Linked DNA regions of Oryctolagus cuniculus. The protein of the gene in region 1 purifies or fractionates together with the protein of each later gene. This does not show direct contact. Links are inferred from orthologs where the notes say so. Each region holds a gene or a part of one and is shown on either strand. Other genes may lie near its edges.

Evidence for each region.
Region 2: the proteins of TMPRSS6 (region 1) and HJV purify together in Homo sapiens (co-immunoprecipitation; 3 studies listed by IntAct). This does not show direct contact. The link is inferred for Oryctolagus cuniculus from reciprocal best matches to the Homo sapiens genes TMPRSS6 and HJV.

The regions. Positions count from the first base shown.
Region 1 is NC_091442.1:114,169,028-114,172,832, forward strand, and holds part of TMPRSS6 (transmembrane protease serine 6), read right to left. Parts: intron 2,891-3,805; coding exon 2,757-2,890; intron 2,058-2,756; coding exon 1,990-2,057; intron 1,584-1,989; coding exon 1,399-1,583; intron 1,221-1,398; coding exon 1,179-1,220; intron 1-1,178. UniProt on the Homo sapiens protein: Membrane-bound serine protease. Through the cleavage of cell surface hemojuvelin (HJV), a regulator of the expression of the iron absorption-regulating hormone hepicidin/HAMP, plays a role in iron homeostasis.
Region 2 is NC_091438.1:48,868,791-48,872,695, forward strand, and holds the start of HJV (hemojuvelin), read left to right. Parts: upstream 1-1,369; 5' UTR 1,370-1,615; intron 1,616-2,872; 5' UTR 2,873-2,961; coding exon 2,962-3,058; intron 3,059-3,418; coding exon 3,419-3,905. UniProt on the Homo sapiens protein: Acts as a bone morphogenetic protein (BMP) coreceptor. Through enhancement of BMP signaling regulates hepcidin (HAMP) expression and regulates iron homeostasis.

The DNA.
Region 1 (3,805 bases):
CAAACCCGAGCTCTGCAGAGCGGGGTGTTAACTTTGGAAGACCGCGAAGCCGCGAACAGCCCGGCTCACTAGAAAAGGCCACCGCGAAGGTTGTGGCTTCATTCCCCGCAGGGCGGGGTGGGGCGTCCACCAGCTTTGTAGGCAGCCTCTCCCCAGCATTCTTCTCTCCCCCGACACTAGGAAGTCAGATGGACGTGATCAGTGGGTAGGGAGATGGACAGGGGATGCCCGCGTGGATGGATGGGCAGATGGAGGGTGGATGGATGGGTAGATGGATAGACAGATAGGCACACAGACAGAAGAATTTCTTGTTTCTTTATCGTTCCCCCCGGTCCCCTCATTAGTGAGTTAATCCTACTCACTGTCCCTGTCTGAGTCACGATTTGACTTCTTGTTCGTTGTACTCTGACCTCACTGCCTGCACTCCCCCAGGAAGCAAGCATGCGACAGCAGCGCCAGGAAGAGGGAGGTCAGAGAAGGCAGAAGCAGGGTGCAGGCGCCCCCCTGGGATGGGCTGGAGGTGCTCACCTGTGCCACAGCCCCCCACAGAACTCCCAAGCGCGGGGAGGAATCTGAGGGTTTGGGGGCTTGTGCTTAGGGCTGTCAGGTACAGCAGCCCAGGTGGTGCACTGCACAACTCCTCGGGCCGCATGGACTGCGACGTGGACAGCAGGGTGGCCCTGCCGGTGTTTCGCAGGAAGACACTGAGGTCTCTCGGACGAGAGCAAAGTGACCATAGCAACACGGCATTGGGCGGGAAGTGAGCAACCTTGCAGGTGACCCAAGTGCACCTCTGAAAGACCAAGTCTGAAACCCAGAGTGGCTGACGGGCTGCCCGTTGGGGAGACTATCGGTGGCCTGCAGGCAAGTTGGATTCGACGGTGGAAAAGCAGATTTAGGTTCACCTGTGATGGAACCTGCTACCTGCGCTCACACAGGCAAGACTCACACACACACATGTGCACACATGTGTCCACACGAGAGCACATGAACACACATGCGCATCCACACACGGGCGCCACACCCCCTCCGCTCGCTCAGCCCCTGCTTCCTCCCCTGGGTGACCCCAGGCCGGGCTCCTGCCCCAGCTCAGGGAGCCCCCTGGCCTCCCAACCCTCAACCAAGCCAGGAAAGACGCCAAAGCCAAAGGCAAGCGGGCGGGAAGCCGAGGCGCGTACCCAGCGTGGAATTCAGCGCTACTACGTCTTTCACACTGGCCTCTGTCAAAAGGAAACGGACAAAGAAATCAACAAGGGCAAAATAAATGCACAAAGAACAGGCCACACACACGAACGAAAACGGAGGAGACCGCCAGAGCTGCCGGGCCTGGGCACGCGCCCCGCGCCCCACCCCTCCCTCCCGCCCCCGCGGGGAGCGGGCCCCTGCCCCGGTACTGACCCAGGATCACCAGCCCCTCGGGGTCCACCTCGTACTCCGCCCTGTAGGGAGCGGGCGCCGAGTCATTGGCCGCCGACAGCAGCTCCTCCACCAGCAGCGCCCGCACCACCTCGGGGCTCAGCGTGGGCCGGCGGCGCTCCGGGATTTGCAGAATGAACCAGAAGAAGCAGGTGAGGGGTCCCTCCCTAAGGCAGGCGGCAGTGAGGGGCCCGCGGGCGCTGATCTCCCTCGCGGGAAAGCCTCCCCCCAGCAGCCTCCGCGGGAGCTGCTCTCGCCACCCCCATTTTACAGGGGGAAGTTGAGGCACGGCTGTGAGGCTAACCTAGGCGGCAAAACGCTGGGCCCCATGCTCTCAATGCCCCCCTCCCAGTGCATGCCGGGCCCCTAACCAGCCCGCTGTGGTCGTCACCCAGGGTAAACCCTGCCACAGTGCTGTGCCCATTACACAGATGAGAAGACCAAGCCCGATGGAGGGAGGTCACCGGCTGCAGCCAGGTCTCTTGCCCGCGCCCTTGGAAAATGAGACAGGTCCCCTCCCAGGGCTGATCTGAGGTCCTGGCAGGGGCCAGCTGTTGCCTGGGGACAACGTACCCAAAGGAGTAGACAGAGCTGGAGTTGTAGTAGGCGCCCAGCCGCGTGCTGGTGATGAGTGCCTTGAGCTGCCAGAGGAAGACCAGAGCCCCGTGACCCTCTGTGGCGGCACCAGCCCCCCCCACCTTGGGGTGCACCCTGGGGAGCCCCAGGGGAAAGGCCAGCCAGGTCACCAGTGGTCAGAGCCCGAACCAGGGGCACCTTCCCCTCCCCCACCTCCATCCTCACCCCCGAAGGCCGACGGCCTCTCTCCCCCTATCAGAAGCCCTTCTTCCACTCTGAGCAGCCCCCCGGGCCACAGGGCCCCCCTGCACCCACCCCTGACCGCCCCAGGCACGGCCGGGCCACGGTGATAGGGAGCCCGGCTCGGGGGAGGCTTTGCCCCTGTACAGCTACGAGGCGGCACATCCGGGAGCCTCCTGGAACTGCCTGGAAACCCTGGCCACCGTGTCTGCTTCCAAGCCTGCAGCCAGGACACGGTGCACAGCACCCTCAGAGCGGGGTACTGACCCACCCTGCGCAGCTCTCCAGGCCGCCTTGCTGGACGGGGCCCTGGCACAGGCGGTGGCTGTGTCACGAGGCACGCGGGGCCCCCAGCAGAGCCAAGCTCCGCCCTCGGGAGTGACACCGGCAGAGTCTAATGCAAGTGCCTTGGACGCAGGTCCACTCGCTTTCCCGTCCCTGTGCCATGTGGCCCCAGTGAGTGCCCCGCCTCCCCCAGGGGGCCCCACTGACCACGCCCAGCCCTGCGCGCGCCCCTTCCCTACCATGTTCTGGGCCTTGGTGGTTTCGCTGCGGAAGGCGCTGGACTCCCTGCGGGCGAGGTCCTGGGAGAAGTGGCGGTTGAGCACCCGCAGGCTGCCCACGTACACCTGGCTGACGGTCACCTCCGCCCTGTACCCTGGAGGAGGGGCCACCGGGTTGAGTGCGGGCTCAGTGGGCGGGGCTCAGTGGGCAAGGCTCCTGGACTCCCACGCCGTCTGCTGCCACCCAGCCTGCCGCCCAGCCTGCCGCCCAGACACCATCGCCATCCCCATGAGCGCCCTCCTCCTCCTCACCCCTGTCGTCATCACCGTCATCATCCAGACTGGCACCAAGGCCACGGAGGACGTCAAGGCCAGGAAGCCTCAGGCATCCAGGAGGCCCAGGCCCCATTCAGCCCCTCTCTCCGACCTCCCTCCCTCCTTCCACAAGCGGGCGCTAACCCACCTGCTACGCAGGCCACCCTGGTCAGCTATGACAGCCACGCCTCCCCTGGTGGAGCCGAGAGTGCTGGGTAAGCAGGTGTCGCGCCAGCAGCCCCACAGCACGTGGGCTGCGTCTGGGACGGCTGCCCCCCGAGGAGCAGCGCAGGGGCCATGGCACCGGAACAGGCTGACCCCACAGTGCCCCTCCCGCTGAGATGTGAGGACTGCGAAGGTGTGAGAGCCTGGGAGTGTGGGGACTGACGTCAAGCACTTGGGAATACATCACTAGAGCGGTGAACAAGTTTGTAGTCTAACAGGCAGGAACCACTGCCTCTCCCAGCTACAAGGCGCGTGCTGTGGAGGGGAGGGTAGCACGGCAGAGGCCTGGAGTGAAGATGACGCTGTCGGGAGGTGTGCCTGTGGGAGGGCCAGACCGAGGGAGTGGCAAGTGCAAAGGCCCTGGGGCAGGAGTTTGCCTGGTGAGTTTGTGAGCAAAAGGGAGAACAGGAGGAGAGGAGGCGTGGGGAAGGCGGAGGCCATGCAGGGCTTTCGAGCTCTGAGAGGACTTGGGTTTGACTTTGAGTAAGAAAGGAGCTGTGGGAGAGTTGAGAAATCAGAGAACCGATTTG
Region 2 (3,905 bases), on another chromosome or scaffold:
GCTCTCTGCTGTGGCCTGGGAAAGCAGTAGAAGATGGCCTGGAGACCCAGAGGAAGCTCCTGGCTCCTGGCTGCAGATCAGTGCAGCTCGGGCTATTGTGACCCTCTGGGGAATGAACCAGCGGATGGAAGATCTTTCTCTCTCGCTCGCTCGCTCACTCTGCCTCTCTTTGTAACTCTGCTTTTCAAATAAATAAATCAATCTTTAAAAAAAAAAAAAAAGAACATGGGTATAGATGCCGTAGTGATACTATTTGGAATCAGTCCTTGTGCTAATTTCCTTTGGCAGATGTTAAGAGGATGAATGGTTGGGAGTCTGGTCTAGTGGTTAAAATGCCCGCATTCCATACCAGAGTGCCTGGGTTTGGCACTCAGCTCTGCTCCTGGAAGCAGCAGGCGATGGCTCAGGTGACTCAGTTACTGCCGCCCACATGGGAGACCTGGATTGGGTTCCCTGCCTCAAGCCTTGGCCCCAGTCAGCGTTGTTGAGACAGTAGGAGAGTGAACTAGTGGATGACAACTCTCCATATCTCTGCCTCACAGATAAATACAAAGGCATTTACACTTTTTTTTTAAGATGGTGATCCCAGATATTCCTATGGCTGTCAAAACATGACATGGTTAAATTCCATGCTCGCGAGTCTTAGAGGCTCACAAGATTATGTTGCTCCACGAAAGCACATTTCAGGATCTCCTTTTCTCTCAGTTTATCTAATTGCTCCTCTCCTATGACCTCCATTCCTTCTCTTCCTCTTTGCCTTTGTTAGCTTCTCTCCCAGCAACTCAGGAGCTTGCATTGCTGTGTGCCCATGAGGGAGAGGGAGGAGGAACTTCTGTGCAAACGAAGGTATGGAAAACAGAGGAGGTAGGGACAGACAGCTGCAAGGATCCAAGCTGAGGAGACTGAACAAACCCTCACCCAAAACAACTCAAAGCTCAGATTTCTTCTCTGGACAGCTGGCTTTGCCAGTCCTCCTGGAACACTCCGCAAAGGTGGGGGCGGGGCTGTGACCCACCTCCGCTATGGCTCTTCCTTAGTCAGAGACCTTCCAGATACTCTATGTGGAAACTACATGTAATGTTCAAAAGAGCACGGATGAGGGAAGTAAGTGAGAGGTATCCGATTGCACACCACAATACTTAAAGGTCAAGAGCTCATTGCTGAGAACGCCAAAGGGCTGCCTGGAGTAGACAGCGACCATAGAGTGACCTGAGAAGCACTGGATATGTGACTTTGCTGTCATATTTCTCCCACTCTCCCCACTTGGCACCCAATACTTCATATTCTCTCTAATCTTTCTACCCTCCCCACTCCCACACCCTACCCCCACCAATGTTCCTGGAATTTTGGACTTAGCTATTTTTAAAACAGTCAACTCAGTAGCCACCTCCCTCCCCCGCTCAGCTGTCCAATGCTCCCGCCAGCCACATACTCCCCTTTTCCCCACACCAAGCCTTCCCTGGCTTCCTGACCTCAGGGAGATTGCAGCCGACCTGGGGAGCTGGGGGAGACATGGAGAAAGAGACGGGGGACCCCCTGGCTGGAGCAGACTGACAGAGTAGGCAGCCATGGCTGGAGAATTGGATATCAGAGTAATGTTTGACCTCTGGAAACAGTAAGTTAAAACGCAATTGCAATTCCTTTCATAAGCTCTTGGATTGAAGTTAGACTTTTATGAAATTACAGACACTGCCTTGGATGTCTCTGGTCCAAAAGCTAGGATCTCTCTATACCAAGGTGCTCCAATCTCCATTTCTTTCAGTCTCACTTCTTTCTAGCATCTAACCTCTGGCCATTTGAAGTTTAATCCTCTGTCTGTGTCTGGCAGTCTTTGCCTTGTTACCCCAGGACTTGTAATGCAGTCTTTGGAGGAGTTGCCCACCCCCCTATTCTGTAGTTTTCTCATTGTGGCCAAATTTGACCTAGATGATTAGTCACTGACATGCCTGCACCCTGTCCCTACTTAGCAATGCCCTTCACATTGGACTTCCAAGGGTGGAAGCTATCCCTTGTCTTATATATGACGTCTGCCCACAACTCTGCTCCCTCCAACCTACTCTTTTCCCAAATCGTTTCATTAGTCCAAAAGAGAGAAGTTTGGTACGAGAGAGCTGGCCCTTCCCTAACCCCTGTCCTCAGCAAAAGACTGAGAACTTCAAATTTGCAAAGGGGAGATTAGTGAAAAGAGTGGTTCTTCAGTTAGGTTTGGGAAAATAGCAACTGTTGACTCAGAAAAAGCAAACATTGATTGGCATGCCTGGTTTTGCATCCTGTTATTCTAAGACAGGGGGATTAGGACTGCAGCTCCCCTGAGTGGATGAGAGATTGATTCTGTTCTCATTGGAATACAGAGGTTCTAGAAGGCAAGGGTATCCTCCCTGTGCTCCTTCTTGTCTTTCTGACACCAAAGGGGAAAAGAAATGGACGACTCCCGGAGGGCGGCCCCTTCTAGTGGGGAGAGACGCTTCAGGGGCGTGTTGCTACAGGATTTCTAGAACCGAAATCTGCAGGGGAACACCCCTCCACCCCCAGCCCCACCCCGGGGGAGCTGAGAACTGATCTGCCTCCACAAGTCCTCCATTTTTGACAGAGCTGCTGTTTGGTAGTGCTAGATGGGGCAATATGTGGACTCTGCCCCCTTGAGGTCACTCAACCTTCCCTCCACCCCCACCTGGGGGTATTGCACAAGGGACCTGGAAGTGACCATAGGAGCAGAGCTCATCTGCCACACTTATAGTTTGGGGAGCCCCATTCTCTCCAAAACCCGACTGCTCATCCTTTCCTTGATCTCCCCAGATTCTCTTCACAGCATCCTGACCAATCCTCAACTCTTCTCTTTCTCCATGCCCAGCCAAATTTCTCTTTTTTTCAGTCACTTACAGGACAGCCGGTCAAAATTCACTAGGTAGGAGGGCCATCAGCTGGGAAGAATCGGGGCTGGGGGCACCTGGCTGTATAGGTATGGGGGATCCAGGCCAGTTCCGTAGTCCCCGGCCCCACCACGGCAGTCCCCCAACTCTAAGCACTCTCACTCTTCTGCTGCTCCTCTGTGGACATGGTAAGGAACGGCCAGGGAAGGGCTTGGGAGACCCCAGGGGTGGGCCTGTGAGCCTGTGTGCCTGAGGCAGAACGGCTGCGGGCAGTACCAGGCACCCGCCCTACTCTCAGGGACATTTCATGTCCCACTGGACTTGGGGAAGGGCCCTGGGAAGAGCTTGGTGGACAGAGGAGACCATGTGGGCTCACACACTTTAATAAGACTGAGGGAGGACAGGACCAGGGGGCGGAGGGGGAGAGCAGGGGCTTGGCTAGGTTTTAGGAACGACTGGAATCTCCTGATGAGATTTGGAAGTTAGGAGGAGACTCTTCGAGCAGGGATGTGGGAACCGCCTCACAATCTGCTCCCTTCCGTCCTCAGCTCATTCGCAATGCAAGATCCTCCGCTGCAATGCTGAGTATGTATCGTCCACCCTGAGCCTTAGAAGTGGGGGTTCGCCAGGAGGGCTTCGAGGGGGCGGCGGCAGCGGCGGCCGAGCAGGAGGAGCCGGCTCCGGCGGCCTCTGTCGGGCGCTGCGCTCCTACGCGCTCTGCACTCGGCGCACGGCCCGCACCTGCCGCGGAGATCTTGCCTTCCACTCCGCCGTGCACGGCATCGAGGATCTCATGATTCAGCATAACTGCTCCCGCCAGGGCCCTACGGCTCCTCCCCCGCCCCGCGGCCCTGCCCTTCCAGGAGCAGGTCCTGGCCCCCCAACCCCAGACCCCTGCGACTACGAAGGCCAGTTTTCGCGGCTGCACGGTCGTCCCCCGGGCTTCTTGCACTGCGCCTCCTTCGGGGACCCCCACGTGCGCAGCTTCCACCACCACTTTCACACGTGCCGTGTCCAAGGAGCTTGGCCCCTGCT